3 linked regions of the Oryzias latipes genome follow. The protein of the gene in region 1 interacts with the protein of each later gene in a biochemical or structural test. Links are inferred from orthologs where the notes say so. Each region holds a gene or a part of one and is shown on either strand. Other genes may lie near its edges.

What was found.
Region 2: the proteins of E3 ubiquitin-protein ligase Siah2 (region 1) and egln3 form a complex in vitro, tested with the Homo sapiens proteins (2 studies listed by BioGRID). The link is inferred for Oryzias latipes from reciprocal best matches to the Homo sapiens genes SIAH2 and EGLN3.
Region 3: the proteins of E3 ubiquitin-protein ligase Siah2 (region 1) and dlst form a complex in vitro, tested with the Homo sapiens proteins (2 studies listed by BioGRID, with this or other methods). The link is inferred for Oryzias latipes from reciprocal best matches to the Homo sapiens genes SIAH2 and DLST.

What each region holds. Positions count from the first base shown.
Region 1 is NC_019872.2:23,479,506-23,483,744, reverse strand, and holds the start of E3 ubiquitin-protein ligase Siah2, read left to right. Parts: upstream 1-1,439; 5' UTR 1,440-1,644; coding exon 1,645-2,163; intron 2,164-4,239. UniProt on the Homo sapiens protein: E3 ubiquitin-protein ligase that mediates ubiquitination and subsequent proteasomal degradation of target proteins.
Region 2 is NC_019880.2:24,322,897-24,328,073, reverse strand, and holds the end of egln3 (egl nine homolog 3), read left to right. Parts: intron 1-501; coding exon 502-621; intron 622-703; coding exon 704-840; intron 841-2,082; coding exon 2,083-2,156; intron 2,157-3,333; coding exon 3,334-3,398; 3' UTR 3,399-3,860; downstream 3,861-5,177. UniProt on the Homo sapiens protein: Prolyl hydroxylase that mediates hydroxylation of proline residues in target proteins, such as PKM, TELO2, ATF4 and HIF1A. Target proteins are preferentially recognized via a LXXLAP motif.
Region 3 is NC_019880.2:13,508,458-13,513,074, forward strand, and holds the end of dlst (dihydrolipoyllysine-residue succinyltransferase component of 2-oxoglutarate dehydrogenase complex, mitochondrial), read left to right. Parts: intron 1-98; coding exon 99-184; intron 185-273; coding exon 274-371; intron 372-1,477; coding exon 1,478-1,608; intron 1,609-2,000; coding exon 2,001-2,074; intron 2,075-2,164; coding exon 2,165-2,248; intron 2,249-2,336; coding exon 2,337-2,504; intron 2,505-2,597; coding exon 2,598-2,732; 3' UTR 2,733-3,300; downstream 3,301-4,617. Other genes in the region: rps6kl1 (ribosomal protein S6 kinase-like 1), read right to left, coding at 4,246-4,356, 4,438-4,533, 4,613-4,617. UniProt on the Homo sapiens protein: Dihydrolipoamide succinyltransferase (E2) component of the 2-oxoglutarate dehydrogenase complex. The 2-oxoglutarate dehydrogenase complex catalyzes the overall conversion of 2-oxoglutarate to succinyl-CoA and CO(2).

The DNA.
Region 1 (4,239 bases):
GCCTTCAGACTTTGTGTTTGTTTGCAGCAAACTGAACTTTACTGAGTCCCATTTACACGCTTAGCAACTAAAAAAGAAGTCTTGCTTGTTCAACTAACAGCATGGATATAAAGAGAAAACACATAGGCTACAGACCATGCAGTGATCTCCAACCCTGTTCCTCGTGAGCTACTGCCCTGCTTGTTTTGCAGCTAACCCTGCTTCTGTAATTATTGGTCACCCAGATAGGGTGTGTTCAGTCAGTCAGAATCTGGGCCCACTCAATCCAGCTAATCAGGGTTGGAGATGCCTTATAAGAACTGGACTGAGTGAGTGTGACGTCACCCATAGAAAACGGCTTACTTCTGGAGTCAATTCTGGAGTCAATTCAGCCACCAGTTTTTCGCGATACAGACGCCACCATGCTGGAACCAGAAATGACCAGTAAGCAATGATTGGTCCGAATCGGTTTGAGTCTTGTATCTATGACAACCACTCTTTCCAATAAGGAGCGAGCTTGTTGAAAGTCTGCATCCCTTCCACTAGAAAGCGGGCTTGGGATAATCTGTCAATCAGATATATTGAACATGTGACATGAGACCACATGCTTTTACTGAGGACTCTGACTGGTCAGTTTATAACTTGAATACCTTGCAATAAAGAAACAAAAACATATTAAAAAGGTGGCAGCCATAGAATGATTAATCTGACAAATAGAATGACAGAGTATTTATTTTTCTAAAGAATCTGTGGTATTTTGTCTTGTTTTTGAACCAGCGGGTACTTCCTGTTTGGAACACGAAGGGGGATGGGTCACTCAGTACATATCATTGACGGTTTAATATGACAGGATGGATTGCATGTGATGTCACTCATAGAAAATGTCTTATTAATATTAATATCATTATTATAATTACTGACTTATTATTCACTTAATGTTGTGCTTTTCTAAATAATTTAAATTACATGTCAAAGAGGTCTAAAACTTATAAATGTTTAAAAATTATTTTTTTAAATTCTTTGTAATAATTGTTTTATTTGTAAGAAGTCCTGCAACTAGAAAGCGTTGTCATGTGGGCACCGACGACCTCACCAAGGTGGCGTAGCACTCCGCCACCATTGGCTAGGCTTCCGAAGTGGGCGTGTCTCCTCTCGCAATATAACTCATTGGTCCATGTCCAGTCAATAATACAATCACACACCCAGACAAATTGTAACAACCCAAGCAGGCAGAGAAGCATAATCTCTTTTCTAGATTCAGGGCCTATTTATTTGAAAACCACTTAAACAGTCAAACAGCATGGAGGTCACTTCTGCTCACAACGCCCTCACTCATGGTGAGGAACTTTACACCCAAGATTCCCCACTTCCCATGAGCCTTCGGAGCTGAAGGCAGGGCTAACCCCCAGGTCGCCACACTATATACATGCACACACACAAACTAATAATCACGTGCACACAAACATCAGTTAATATTTTTTATGCTTTTTTAAAAGCAGTATTTTTATGATCGTCCTGTTCTCCTTGGATCTTTTCTCCTTCAGCGGTTTTATTTAATATTTTTGGTCTCCAGGAAAAACATTCGTGTGAGGACACGCCTCCAGAGCTTGATTGGCTGACGCTCCTGCCATTCAGTCAGGAAGCAGCCAATGACAGCGCGCGGTCATGGTACAAACCGACAGCCGCCATGTTGGCTCTGCTGGGTCAGGTTGTGAGCGGCAGATGACAGAACCTCCGCTTCGGCCGCTCGTCGGACTAGGACCGCAGCTGGGAGCCATGAGCGGTCCGTCCTCAGCCGGAGCCGGAGGACTCGGGGCCGCGAAAGCAGGCGGGGGGAAGCACGGAGCCGCTTCAGCCGCCGCAGCTGCTGCCGCCGCGGCCGTGGCCGCCGGCGCCGGTGTGGGCTCTGTGGCCGGGTCGGGCTCGGCAGCATCTTCCTCCGTCTTGTCTCTGCCCGCAGCCGGCCTCCCCGGGCAGCCGACGGAACTCACGGCGCTGTTCGAGTGTCCCGTCTGCTTCGACTACGTGCTGCCGCCCATCCTGCAGTGCCAGTCGGGTCACCTGGTCTGCAACCCGTGCCGGCAGAAGCTGAGCTGCTGTCCGACCTGCCGCGGCCCGCTCAGCCCGAGCATCCGTAACCTGGCCATGGAGAAGGTGGCGTCCACCCTGCCGTTCCCCTGCAAGGTGAGCCGGCCGCCCAGCCCACAGTTCGGGTCCGCAGCGGTTCTGCAGTATCAACCAGCTTCTCTTTGTGGTCCAGTCGAACTTTTCTGAAACTCAGAGGGCAAACAGAATGACACAGAGGTATAAAACGTAAACAAACGAACCATCAAACTGAATGTTGCGTTCACTGTCTGAGATAACAGTAGGACATGTCAGTTTCAGGTTTTAGGAACCACAAACAATGGACCTATATTCTCTGACGTCACTTAAAAGATTACGAACGGAATTAAAGTGAGAATTCCTCCCCCCACTTCAATTTTTTGAGCATCTCCATTTGGCACAAAGTCAAGGGATAGATAAATCCACAAGTGACCTAAAACTATCTGTAGTTTAATAAAAGGCACCCTCACCCCATACCGACATTTCTGTGTAGGATGTCAGAAGGTCATTTCTGCTGTCATGTTGGATTTTTGTAAGATGGGAGTTGATGGGAAACCAGCCTGCTGTGGTCATTTGAGGAACTGCAACCTTCCCCGGACTGGCATTTAGGCACAAAAGGTAGGGGGGTCTAGGTGGGAACAGGGGCGTGGAACGCCGTGTTCCCCCCAGACGTTGTACCTAAAACAGCGGCTCAGGTTCTGTCACGGACTCGTTAAAGTTAAATGAGGGGATCAGAGCTGAAAGGTGAGTCTTGACCTCACCTGATCAGGAGGAGGGGCTGAGGGAGGACACCTGATGCTTCAAGGTGAAGACACCCTCTCTGCTGCATCAAGGCTCACACCTGAGGCAGAAGCACGATCAGGAAGTCAAGGGCAGATGTTTTAGATGACGGAGGCCTCGCTCTCACAGGTTTAGTTCTCTGGTCCGACTTAATTCAGGAATTTGGATAAGATGTTTTGATCTGGATCATGGTGAACGTGTGCACATGTCTTGTAGTTGTAGAGCTTTACTGTAGGCCCTGGTCCGTAAGGTTCTGCTTTGAGCCTTGTTCTAGCTGTTCTGCTGTGAAGCTTCTTAAACCAAACTATCTTGAAGTTGCCTCTGGATGGGAGTTTGTGCTTCACACCTCAGGTTCTTGAAGCCTTCAGGTTCAGACAACAGAGTGTTCTCTTTGTGTTTGTTTATGATGTATTTGGTCAGTTGCTTTCATTTTGGAAAAAGTTCCACCCCTTAAACGGTCTACGCCCATCATTCTTCAATCTAACCAATCAGAAGTGGTTATCGTCTTCACTTCCTCGTTCCGTGGCTCAAAGTCTCTCAGTTCCAACAAAAACATCCCCTCAAGATCGAGTTTAGCGCTGTAGCTTCCCATGGGATCCGGTGTTAGATCATTTTAAAAGTGAATAAAATAACAAAGCTTGGAGACGCTGGTCTGTCCGGCATCGATACCGCAGCACTACATCTCCCATGATTCATTGGGTTAATGTGACAGCATCTCCTCCGGTGCTGCTGTTAACTGGCATGAAGCAAACGCAGAAATCTGTTCCGTTCTAACGGTTGGAGAATCTTCTTGCTAAAATCAGAGGTAAAGGTTTGTGTTGGAGCCCAAGGAGTCATTAACGGCCAGAGGTTCCAGTCTTTTTAGTCTAAAGTCATCTTTAGATCAGAAACAGCTGCTTTCTAATAATGTCTGTTTGAAAGACAATTTCATATTCAGACTTCAGTCACTTTTCAAAAAAAAATCTAAACGGCAAAAAATGTTTGTTTTTTTATCTTTTAAATAAATAAAACCTTTTTTTTTAATTTATTTAGACAAAACAATTGTGCTTTTTTAAAGTTCCAATTTAACTTATAACCCTGAATATAGTGCTATAGTGTTTTTTTATGAATGTATTCATGCTGTGGTTACATCATTTACAGTTGCTCTTGCACAAAGGAAATGAACAAAATATTTAATGAATTAACCCTGTTTAAAAGGAACGTCGTGGTTTTATTATTTTTTTTTTTACATTTTACTAAATCGTATCTTAATAAACTGGAGGATACAACACTGCTTGAACATCCCCATACAGCCTTTAGTTGAAACAATTAAACTATCCCAACTTGTGGAAAAATCTGTTGCAACTTCAAGCGTTTTGTGCTGCAAGTGTTACAAAA
Region 2 (5,177 bases), on another chromosome or scaffold:
CCTGCCAGGATGTGGATTTGGCGGCAGGTCAGCCCCCCCTCCCCCTTCCCCAGTTGACCCCCACATGTCATTCCTCACTCTGACAGTGAGGAAGAGGAGCTTATGATGGGATGTCTGTTGTGGATTCACATCAACTCCTTTTCATGACGACACAAACAACAACAACAAGTTTGTTTGATCAAAACAAATGTTGTCAAAAGTCATAAAAAGGATTAGAAATGAGACAAACCCGGCCGGATTCAGAGGTTTTGCTGTGAACCAGTTCTTGTGGCTCCACATGGGGGCGCTGTAGAGCAGCAGGACTGCTGGAATCCACAGCGGCTGAGTTGAAGTACTGATCCAAAGCTGGGAACAGTTGTGGTTCTGGAGGTTCCACTGGGACGGCAGCTGTCCGTGGGGTTTGAATTCTGAGCTTCCGTCACATCGTGAGGTGTTCTGCCGTCTGCTTGAACCCGGTCTCTGCTCTGACCCGTCCTCCTCTCGTGTGTTTCCGGTCCTTAGGCCATGGTGGCGTGTTACCCCGGAAACGGAGCCGGTTACGTCAAACATGTGGACAACCCGAACGGCGACGGACGCCGCCTCACCTGCATCTACTACCTGAACAAGAACTGGAACGTGAAGGTGAGCTGAGCTCTGCCTCTTTCGCAGACGGCGAGGAAGACGAGAAGACTTCATGCTGGGGGGCGGGGCTCTGTCCCTACAGGAGCACGGCGGCGTTCTCCGAATCTTTCCCGACGGGAAGGCATACGTGGCCGACATCAAGCCGCTGTTCGACCGGCTGCTGGTGTTCTGGTCCGACCGCAGGAACCCGCACGAGGTGCAGCCCTCCTTCTCCACCAGGTGAATGTCCGGCGCGTCGGTGCGATTCCCCACAGAAACCCCCCCAGTCTCCAGTTTCATGCTGCTGCCGCTGAACCCTCAAGCACCATTCCAGCGGATTCTGAAGTGCTGATGTGCAACACGTCCTGAGCAGGGCGCGTTCAAGCCACCACTTTCATTACAAAGTCTACGTAAACCAGCGTTTCACGCCTCCACATTCAGAACTCTAGTGAACACACACACGCTTTAAAGATCATTTGCAGGCTCTGACATTATCGAGCTTTAACCAATCAGGGACTTGGATTAGTTGGTGACGTTTGAATGGTGTCTCCCTTTAATTCATGGAAGAGCCAACCGTTTAAAAATAGATCCTGGAGGAGAATTAATGATTGCGGTTCCGGCGTTATTTTTTCACAATAAAGCTTTGTCTCTCACAGCTTTATTCTAAAAGTACTTTCAGAATAAAACCTTGTCTCTCACAGCTTTATTCTGAAAGTACTTTCAGAATAAAACTTTGTCTCTCACAGCTTTATTCGGAAATTACTTTCAGAATAAAACTTTGTCTCTCACAGCTTTATTTTGAAAGAATCACCTCAGCGATTCGCACCGCTTTGACCCATCCAGTCTCTTCTGGTGTTTAAAATCCCACATGCTGCACATGCGTTCTTGACACGTCTGGTGGGAATTTACCCTCTCAGTAGTGAAGTGCTTGTGGAATCAACATAAATCCGCTGATTCTAGGCGGAGAAAAGCGGCTTGGCGCCGTTTTGTGGTTGTCTCTCTGCATTCTAGACGTCTTCTTCCACTTTCGGCTTCTCCCATCAGGGGTCGCCACAGCGAACGAGTCGCATGGTAGATTTGGCAATGTTTTACGCCGGATGCCCTTCCTGACACAACCTTCTCAAACCGGGCTTGGAACCGGCAGAGGTAGAGAAGGGAACAGGGAGCAGCCCGGAGTCGAACCCGGGTTTCACGGACGGAAGGCGCCGCAAACCAGCACGAGCTAAACTGGCATTCTAGACGTCTGACGCTGAGGAAAAGCATCCATGTCGCTCAGCTGATTCATGGTGATCGCATTAACTGTCGAGAATTTACGGGATGTAGCAATGTGCCATTTAGGTGTCGTGTTTGGTGAAATTGGTCTTACGTTGCATAGAAGACTGTAAAATCCTGCAGATTTACAGCCCGGGATCGACGTTTTTGATCGGCTTCCATTTGTTTGTGCGTACAAAGACGAAGGCTCACCTTTGGTTCTGCTTTCAGGTACGCCATCACAGTTTGGTACTTTGACTCCGAGGAGCGAGCCGAGGCCAAGAGGCGCTTCCAGAAAGTGACGGGTGAGTCTGTGTGACGAAGGCTTACACAGCAGAAACACAATCTGACCCACAATGCCCTGCAGTCACATCAGGGTCTGCAGCCTTCAGCCTTAACCCTTGTGCTATCTTAGATGACCCCACCCTTACATTGACGCGTTATTCCTACCATGACAAAGGTGGATAAAGGTGGAAAGATTTCATGTAATCCATGGACACCAGTGAAGATCACAAATCATTGAAGAAAAAAGGTTCAGAGCACTGTCTAGTGCAGGGGTGGGCAATTCCAGGCCTCGAGGGCCGGTGTGTCTGCATGATTTCCAGATAGTCTTGCCCTACTCATGGCTGATTACCTGGTTCAGGTGTGTCCAGCCAATTAGAACATGCCAGAGCAGGGTATGCTGGCAAACATGCAGGAATGCGGCCCTCAGTGCCCACCTCTGTTCTAGTGGATCTAGATGACCCAACTCCCAATGTTAAAGTGCCTATGATAGCACAAGGGTTACAAAAGCCTTGAGGTACTGACTAAAGCCCAACAAAACCCAGAAAGACCCTCTGCACTTTATACAAAAATACACTTTTTTTAAGTTTTTGTGGCCACTTAACCATTCATTAATAAAATGTTTCTTTATATTTATATAACAACATATAAGTTCCTTTCAAAATAAAATGCATCCCGTGTCAATACGATCTTCCTGCTGCAGGAGTTTTGCTGAAATTAAAATAAAAAAGTCAAACTTGATCATTTCCATCATAACTCTGGTGCACCATCGTCCTTTTTCTCTTTTTACTATTGAATAGAAACAACAGTGTTGTAGAATCTAATTTTAATTAAAAATCTATGCATATTAATGCAAATGTAACTTGCAGCTAAACAGAAACTAGACTAGATCAGAATATGTGCTTTAAGCTTTTTCTAATACCAGTAGATTAAACCTTTTAAAATGATTTTTGCTCATTTATCTGACACTTGAACAACTAAAATTAATAAAATGAACTAAAAGAAGTTGATTTAAATCATCGATATATTTCTTCAAGCCCAAAGAGCCACAGTGGGGGCTCCAGTTGTGGACCCCTAGTCTTCTCTGGGTTCAGCATTTAGCTGCAAATGAGACAAACCTGGATCCCTGGCTGAGTCGGCACATTTCAGTAGAATTCGCTGTAGATATTTTTTAAAGTCCGGGTTTCTTCTGTGTTTCAGCGAACACACACAGCCGGACTGCAGCCCCCCCTGACTGTGAGAAGACACTGCCACCTGGTGTTTGAGATGGGGAACAGCGTCAACTCCTGGCTCTTGATCTTCCCACGCAGACGTGGGCTGGTGTTTCCCCGACTCAGGACGGGATTTCTGCTGTGTCGTGATCCTGGACAGTGACCCACCTGAAGACTGCCCCGTTCTGACGGGGGTGGGAGGGGTCCTGAGAGGTTTGCGCAGAGACGATGCTTTCAGGCCTCAGCGTTCTGCAGAAGGCCGGCGCCGGCACACGGTGCCGTTCACTGAAGGCACGGATGAATGAGACTTGAACTTGGAGCTCCTGAAGTGCAGACTCCGCCTCCACCCAGAAGCCGTTCATGAAAGCTTCCCTTCGTGGTCAGACGGGGACGTGGACTCACAGTCTGCTTGTTTACACACACTGATGGATTCAAGTGTGATGGAAATGTTGTTTGTAGTAAGAAAGCCTTTTTTCTGAATTTAAGGTCATTAAAAATATCTATAACTTCAGCTTCCATTACTTCTCATTCTCCTTTTTGGGTGGAGGGGAACAGTTATAAATCAGCAGTTTCAAAGCAACAGAAAAATGCTCTGATGGAAGGTTTTGAAGAAATACCACATGCTGACAATTGATCAATTAGCAGCAGAATGGAGGAACAGCCCACTGCCGCCTTTACTGGGTGCGAGGAAAGCTTTATTTGTTGTACAGAAAGGTATAGATGATCTTTGGCTCTGGGACAATGATGTCTTCTGTGTGTGGGATCAGCTTAGGCCATAGATGAATAAACCGCCAGACTAACCCAGAAATGGTGTTCTTGATGTTTAGGACATGTTTAACCCTTGTGCTATCCTAGGCACTTTAACATTGGGAGTTGGGTCATCTAGACCCACTAGACAGTGGTCTGAACCTTTTTTCTTCAATGATTTGTGATCTTCACTGGTGTCCATGGATTACATGAAATCTTTCCACCTTTATCCACCTTTGTCATGGTAGGGAGAACACGTCAATGTAAGGGTGGGGGTCATCTAAGATAGAACAAGGGATAAAGGTGTGTAGACATCAGCTTTTAGACGTTTAAATTGAGCTCCGCTTTCATTGGAGTCGTCGCAGTCAACGATGACAGAAATGATTGTGTGAATGAACTGGAGAAAACGCTAAGAAGATACTTTCTGAACAGTAAATAGAAGTAAAAAAAATTATCTTCCCACTTTCTTTAAAACTATTAATTAAATTCTATTTGACAACTATCATATTTAATTCAGGGTGTCATTAACTGTACGGATATTTGTGGGGAGGAGGAATAATATTGTCAAGAAAATAGCATCATTTTGTTTGTTCATGAATTCATATGGATTTCACATCCATTTTTATTCTTTTATTTATTTCTGCAATTGTTTGAAGTAAACCAAAACCAGAAATCGATGTTTTTCAGATCAATAATAATAAATCCTGAAGTCAAAGATGTTTTGTTTTTAGCCTTTTTAAGTGTAATTTGGTGAATCCTTACGTTTTTAATGTTTGCTTTGTGCTTATTAGCTCTTGTTTATTAGCATTTGCATTCTTTCAAAATGTTTCCATGGGGGTGTCTGCAATGGGGGGGTTGTTTGGGCTGGCCGATGCTACAGATTGTTCTCCTGGGACGTTGTTCTCCAAGGGCTGTTTTTGGGGGAGTTGAGAAGATTTATTCTATTTTTTTGCAGCATAACCTCTTGACGACCTGAATCATTTCCAGCTAAAAAAAAAAGCGCTTCTGTTTTTGCGTTCATGTAGATTCTAAATGGAGGTCATTTTGGAGCCAAAAGAGTCTGATGATAGGTATTTGCACCAGTAA
Region 3 (4,617 bases), on another chromosome or scaffold:
AGAACCCTGTTGCTGTTTTCTTGACCTTTAACTTCCCATTATCAGTCCAAGGCTTAAAGTCTGGATGTTCTGACTGCCTGTTTACTCTTCTGTCATAGTTTCAGCCATTAAGCCCACTGTTTCCCAAGCTGCACCAGTGACCCACACAGAGGGCGGGGCTAAAGCAGCAAGGACAGAGAGCAGGGTAAGATCTTGAAGTACGAATATAGAGATTTGTTCCATAAAGTTCACTTTTGTCGATACGGTTTTGTTGAATATTTTTTCTGCTTTTAGGTGAAGATGAATCGCATGAGACTAAGAATTGCCCAGAGACTGAAGGAAGCCCAAAACACCTGCGCTATGCTGACAACATTTAATGAGGTCGACATGAGGTAGGAAACCGTTAATTAGATGACCTACATAAACAGACCCAGAATACAGTTTTAGATGATGCACTTCACCATTTGAACACGTTAGCAAAAACTTTTGAGGGAGTTAAAAAACTTCCAACTGTCAACTCTTTTGCACATGTGCAAGAACATTTTCTCTGGGGCTTATATGAATACATTACCTACAGGCCTCTATTGTATACATTAGTTTTAAGCCAAAGTAACACTTCCACAAATGGTTATAGATTGGAATCTGCTCAATTGGAAAAGCTTTTTGAAACACAATATCCTGTTAACGCTGGAATGTAAATATTTGGTCGTAATTCCATCTAAAAACAAAGATAAGAATTGTTAAAACAAGTTTTATTAATTTAGAAGGAAATGTTAGTGTCTGCACTTGCCCCTCTGTGCTGGAAAGGACACTTTGAGGATTTCTTTCCCCCGCAAATGTGTGGTGTCAGCTTTCGGCTATTCAGGGGTTTCTATGTATCCTAATTAGATTGACATTGATGGTCTGGAGGAAGACTTCCCAGGCTAGGGCTAATCTGAAGCTGAAGGAACTAGTCAGAACAGGAGGCTGGAGCATCTGCGAGGGCCCATAGAGACCAGCGCACTGAGTGGAAGAGCTGCCTCAACCGATATGGGCTTTTATGACAGCCCAATAAGATTTACAGGCTCTAGAAAGTGAAGATTTTTATCGCTTCTTCTCTCCTTTCTCGGAGAGTCTGTGTCTTGGGAGGGGCTAATTATGTTAGCGGAGAAACCCTAGAGCTTCAACAGGGTTAGAGACAGGAAAACAAACAATTAAAAAGATAGATATAAGAGAAAAATGAGCAATTGTGAAACAATTAACGGGATAATTTCTATAGCTTTATTAACCTTTGTGTTGTTTTAAAGCCATGAACAAAATGTTTCTGCTTACTTTTGTCCTAATGGTTAATTTTTTATGAACTTTTATTTTTCTTCTTTTAAAAAACGTCTTTCTTTGTCTTTTTGTGCATTTGTTTAAGTCCCACTTTCAAACTCAGTAGTTAAAATTTAATGTATTTTTCTTTCTTTTCTGCTTTGCACCACTTTAATTGTTCTGTACCTTTCCTCTATTCCCACAGCAACATCTCAGAGATGCGGAAGAACTACAAAGACGCCTTCCTGAAAAAGCACAACATCAAACTGGGCTTCATGTCTGCATTTGTAAAGGCCGCTGCTTATGCTCTAACTGACCAACCTGCTGTAAATGGCGGTATGAAATTGTTGGATTCAATTTTTAGACTCCAATGCCTTGGCTTTGTGGTTTCACTCTGACTGCACCTTAGCGTCTTTGGTAGGGCGTCATAGAGTCTGTATGTAGCGAAGGAAATATTTTTCATTGCCCAACCTCAAAACCAGTGTTAACTTATTTATTTCACTTAGACTGCTCTGACCTATTTAAGTCGACCACAGAGAAACGGGGGGTCTGTGCTGCTGCCTTCAAAAATCTATAATTGTCTTTGGGTTTCACTTGCACATGACAGAAAGTAGTTGATGGCAGAGGAACCTTGTCTTGAGAGGAAGTTCCTTTGGTTTTGTTTTTTCCACAGCTTAATGTTATCAAATATTTCAATTAACCAATTTTTGTTAATGCTATATTTCCAGTGATTGATGACACAACCAAAGAGATCGTGTACCGGGACTATGTTGACATCAGCGTTGCTGTTGCCACGCCAAAAGTAAGACAAGCCGCTGATATGAAAGAACAAGTGATGGATGACATTTTTGCTTCAACAACAATGAGCAGAAAATGACTACTTTTTCTTCAGGGTTTGGTGGTTCCTGTCATTCGAAATGTTGAAGGAATGAACTTTGCTGATATTGAAAAGGCGATCAATTTGTTGGGAGAAAAGGTAAGGTTTTATAGCAAGTGTGTAAAAACAAAAAAATGTGAAAATATTAGATGTTATTGTTGAGTAATTTCACATTTTGTCTTTAAAGGCTCGTAAAAATGAGCTTGCTGTTGAAGACATGGATGGAGGCACCTTTACCATCAGCAATGGAGGCGTTTTTGGGTCAATGTTCGGTACACCTATAATAAACCCCCCGCAGTCTGCTATTCTTGGCATGCATGGCATCTTTGACCGGCCCGTTGCAGTCGGTGGGAAGGTTTGTGCTCTCACATCTTATAGAGAAATGTGATCGCTGGTTCTCTAAAGCATGTAAAAGACATACAATTTACTGATCTCTTTGTTTCTCCAGGTTGAAATCCGTCCTATGATGTATGTCGCCCTGACATATGATCACCGTCTGATAGATGGAAGGGAGGCTGTCACTTTTCTGCGTAAGATCAAGTCGGTAGTGGAGGACCCCAGGGTGCTGCTCCTCGACATGTGATCTCACATCTGCTCCAACCCCAACCAAAAGGAAAAAACACAAAAAAGCTTAATAAAAGAAAACAAAGTCCGCACAAGCAGTGGCTCTACGCACTTGATAAACATTACTTTAACTGCAGTTAATGTATTGTGTTGGTCAGCTAGGAATAAAGGATCTGTGTTAAACAGTTTGATTTTGAAAAGAACATTGGAGGAAGTGATAAAATATGAGGCCGTTGTAAAGGAAGGACGGAGTTCTGAGATTTCTGGTGCTGGTCTTTAGATTAAAAAAAACAAAAAAAAAGAAGTACTTTGGTGTTTGCCATATGTCATTTTCTACATGCATCTCAAATGCTTTTGTTTATTGTAAAAATGACAAGGCAAGTACAGATGAAACTGCATATTGTAATTTTATTAATTTGGTTGAGAGCAGAACAATCCGCACAGAACTTGAAATCTCACAAAGTGAAAAAACTGAGATTTTATGCCATCTAGCGAAAGAAGTATAGAGAGAAGACCTCTCTTTTTGCCGTGTAAGAAACTATTTAAGAAGAAAAAATGTTTTAAACAATAAAAACTTCATTACCCAACTGTTTTGATTTGAATGTCATCCAGTTCCTCTGAACAAACCAGAGAAAAAGAAAGATTTGAGCGGGAGGATTTGGGACTGTATGGTCTTTATACGGTACTTTGATGCAAATTTGCATTAAACGACTTCGGGTCCAAAATTTCCTTAATTTATTTGGCTTATACTTGAAAACAAAATGGTTTTTGTTATATAGCTTAAAATATATTCAGACATGAAGAAGTTAAGTATGTTTATGACTTATGTATCTTACTCCTATTACCTTTATATCTTTAGTACTCAGCAAAAACTTTTCTACTTTTAAAGTGTGAATATAAGGCAAAAAATGGAACAAAACGGCTCATGACTGATTTATGGATTCTTTTTGATGGTAGAAAAAAGTCTTGACTCCCCATATTCAATCTTGATAAGACTAAGCATAAAATTTAAGTTTTTGACGGGAATATGTTATGATTCTGTTTTATATGTGATTCATAAAGACTGAAGACTTGGTGTATTCATTCCCTAACAGAATGACTGTTAGGACAACCATCATCCAGAATTGACGGATGTTCCTCTAGATAAGTCCAAACTTTAAAACAAATATCCGTTAGTATGAGCTGTCATTAAAAAATGTTTAACTTTAGGTTTTTGTTGATATCAAATAAATGAATCCCCTTATTGTCTATCATAGGCTTTTGTATAATAACTGAGGGAAATGAGCAGAAATGACACGTGTGGTATGTAGAATTTCATTGATCAAAACTGCATGTTAGGAATCGGTACATTTTAAAAATTAAGTAGATTGTCCTCTTTCCAGACTGTGTGTCCGCACTTCTGTCCAACCTTTGTTCGGTTCTTCATCATGGGAAGCACAGAAAGTTTCTGCGTCCTTTCTGTCCACCTCCAGCAGAACCACTAAAGTCCGGGTTGGCACAACTTTTTCAGATATGCAAAAGTAGTGATCTTGTTAGCAGGTCAAAGCTTTCCAAGATACGCCGCTGAAGAAGGGGTGACACTTGATGTCGCTCACTCCTCCCCCTCCTGAACCCAAGCGGTAGCCAGCATCAAACTGAAGCAGCTGTGGAATAAAAGAAATTACTTCATTTATTGCTGTTTTTTTTTTTTTTTTTAAGAAGGGTGTTTAGGCCTGAAACGTAACCTCAGTAAGGAGAGATGCAGCTGCAGCACTAAGGTGGTTGGGAATGAGGAGCTGGGTGTGGGAGTGGATTCCTGCCGGATGGAGCTGCCAGAGTGGCTGCAAAAAATGTGACAGTAGTTTGAATTTGATTTAAAAAAAAATCAACCCTACCTTTATATTAGGTCTATTAACGCACCATTC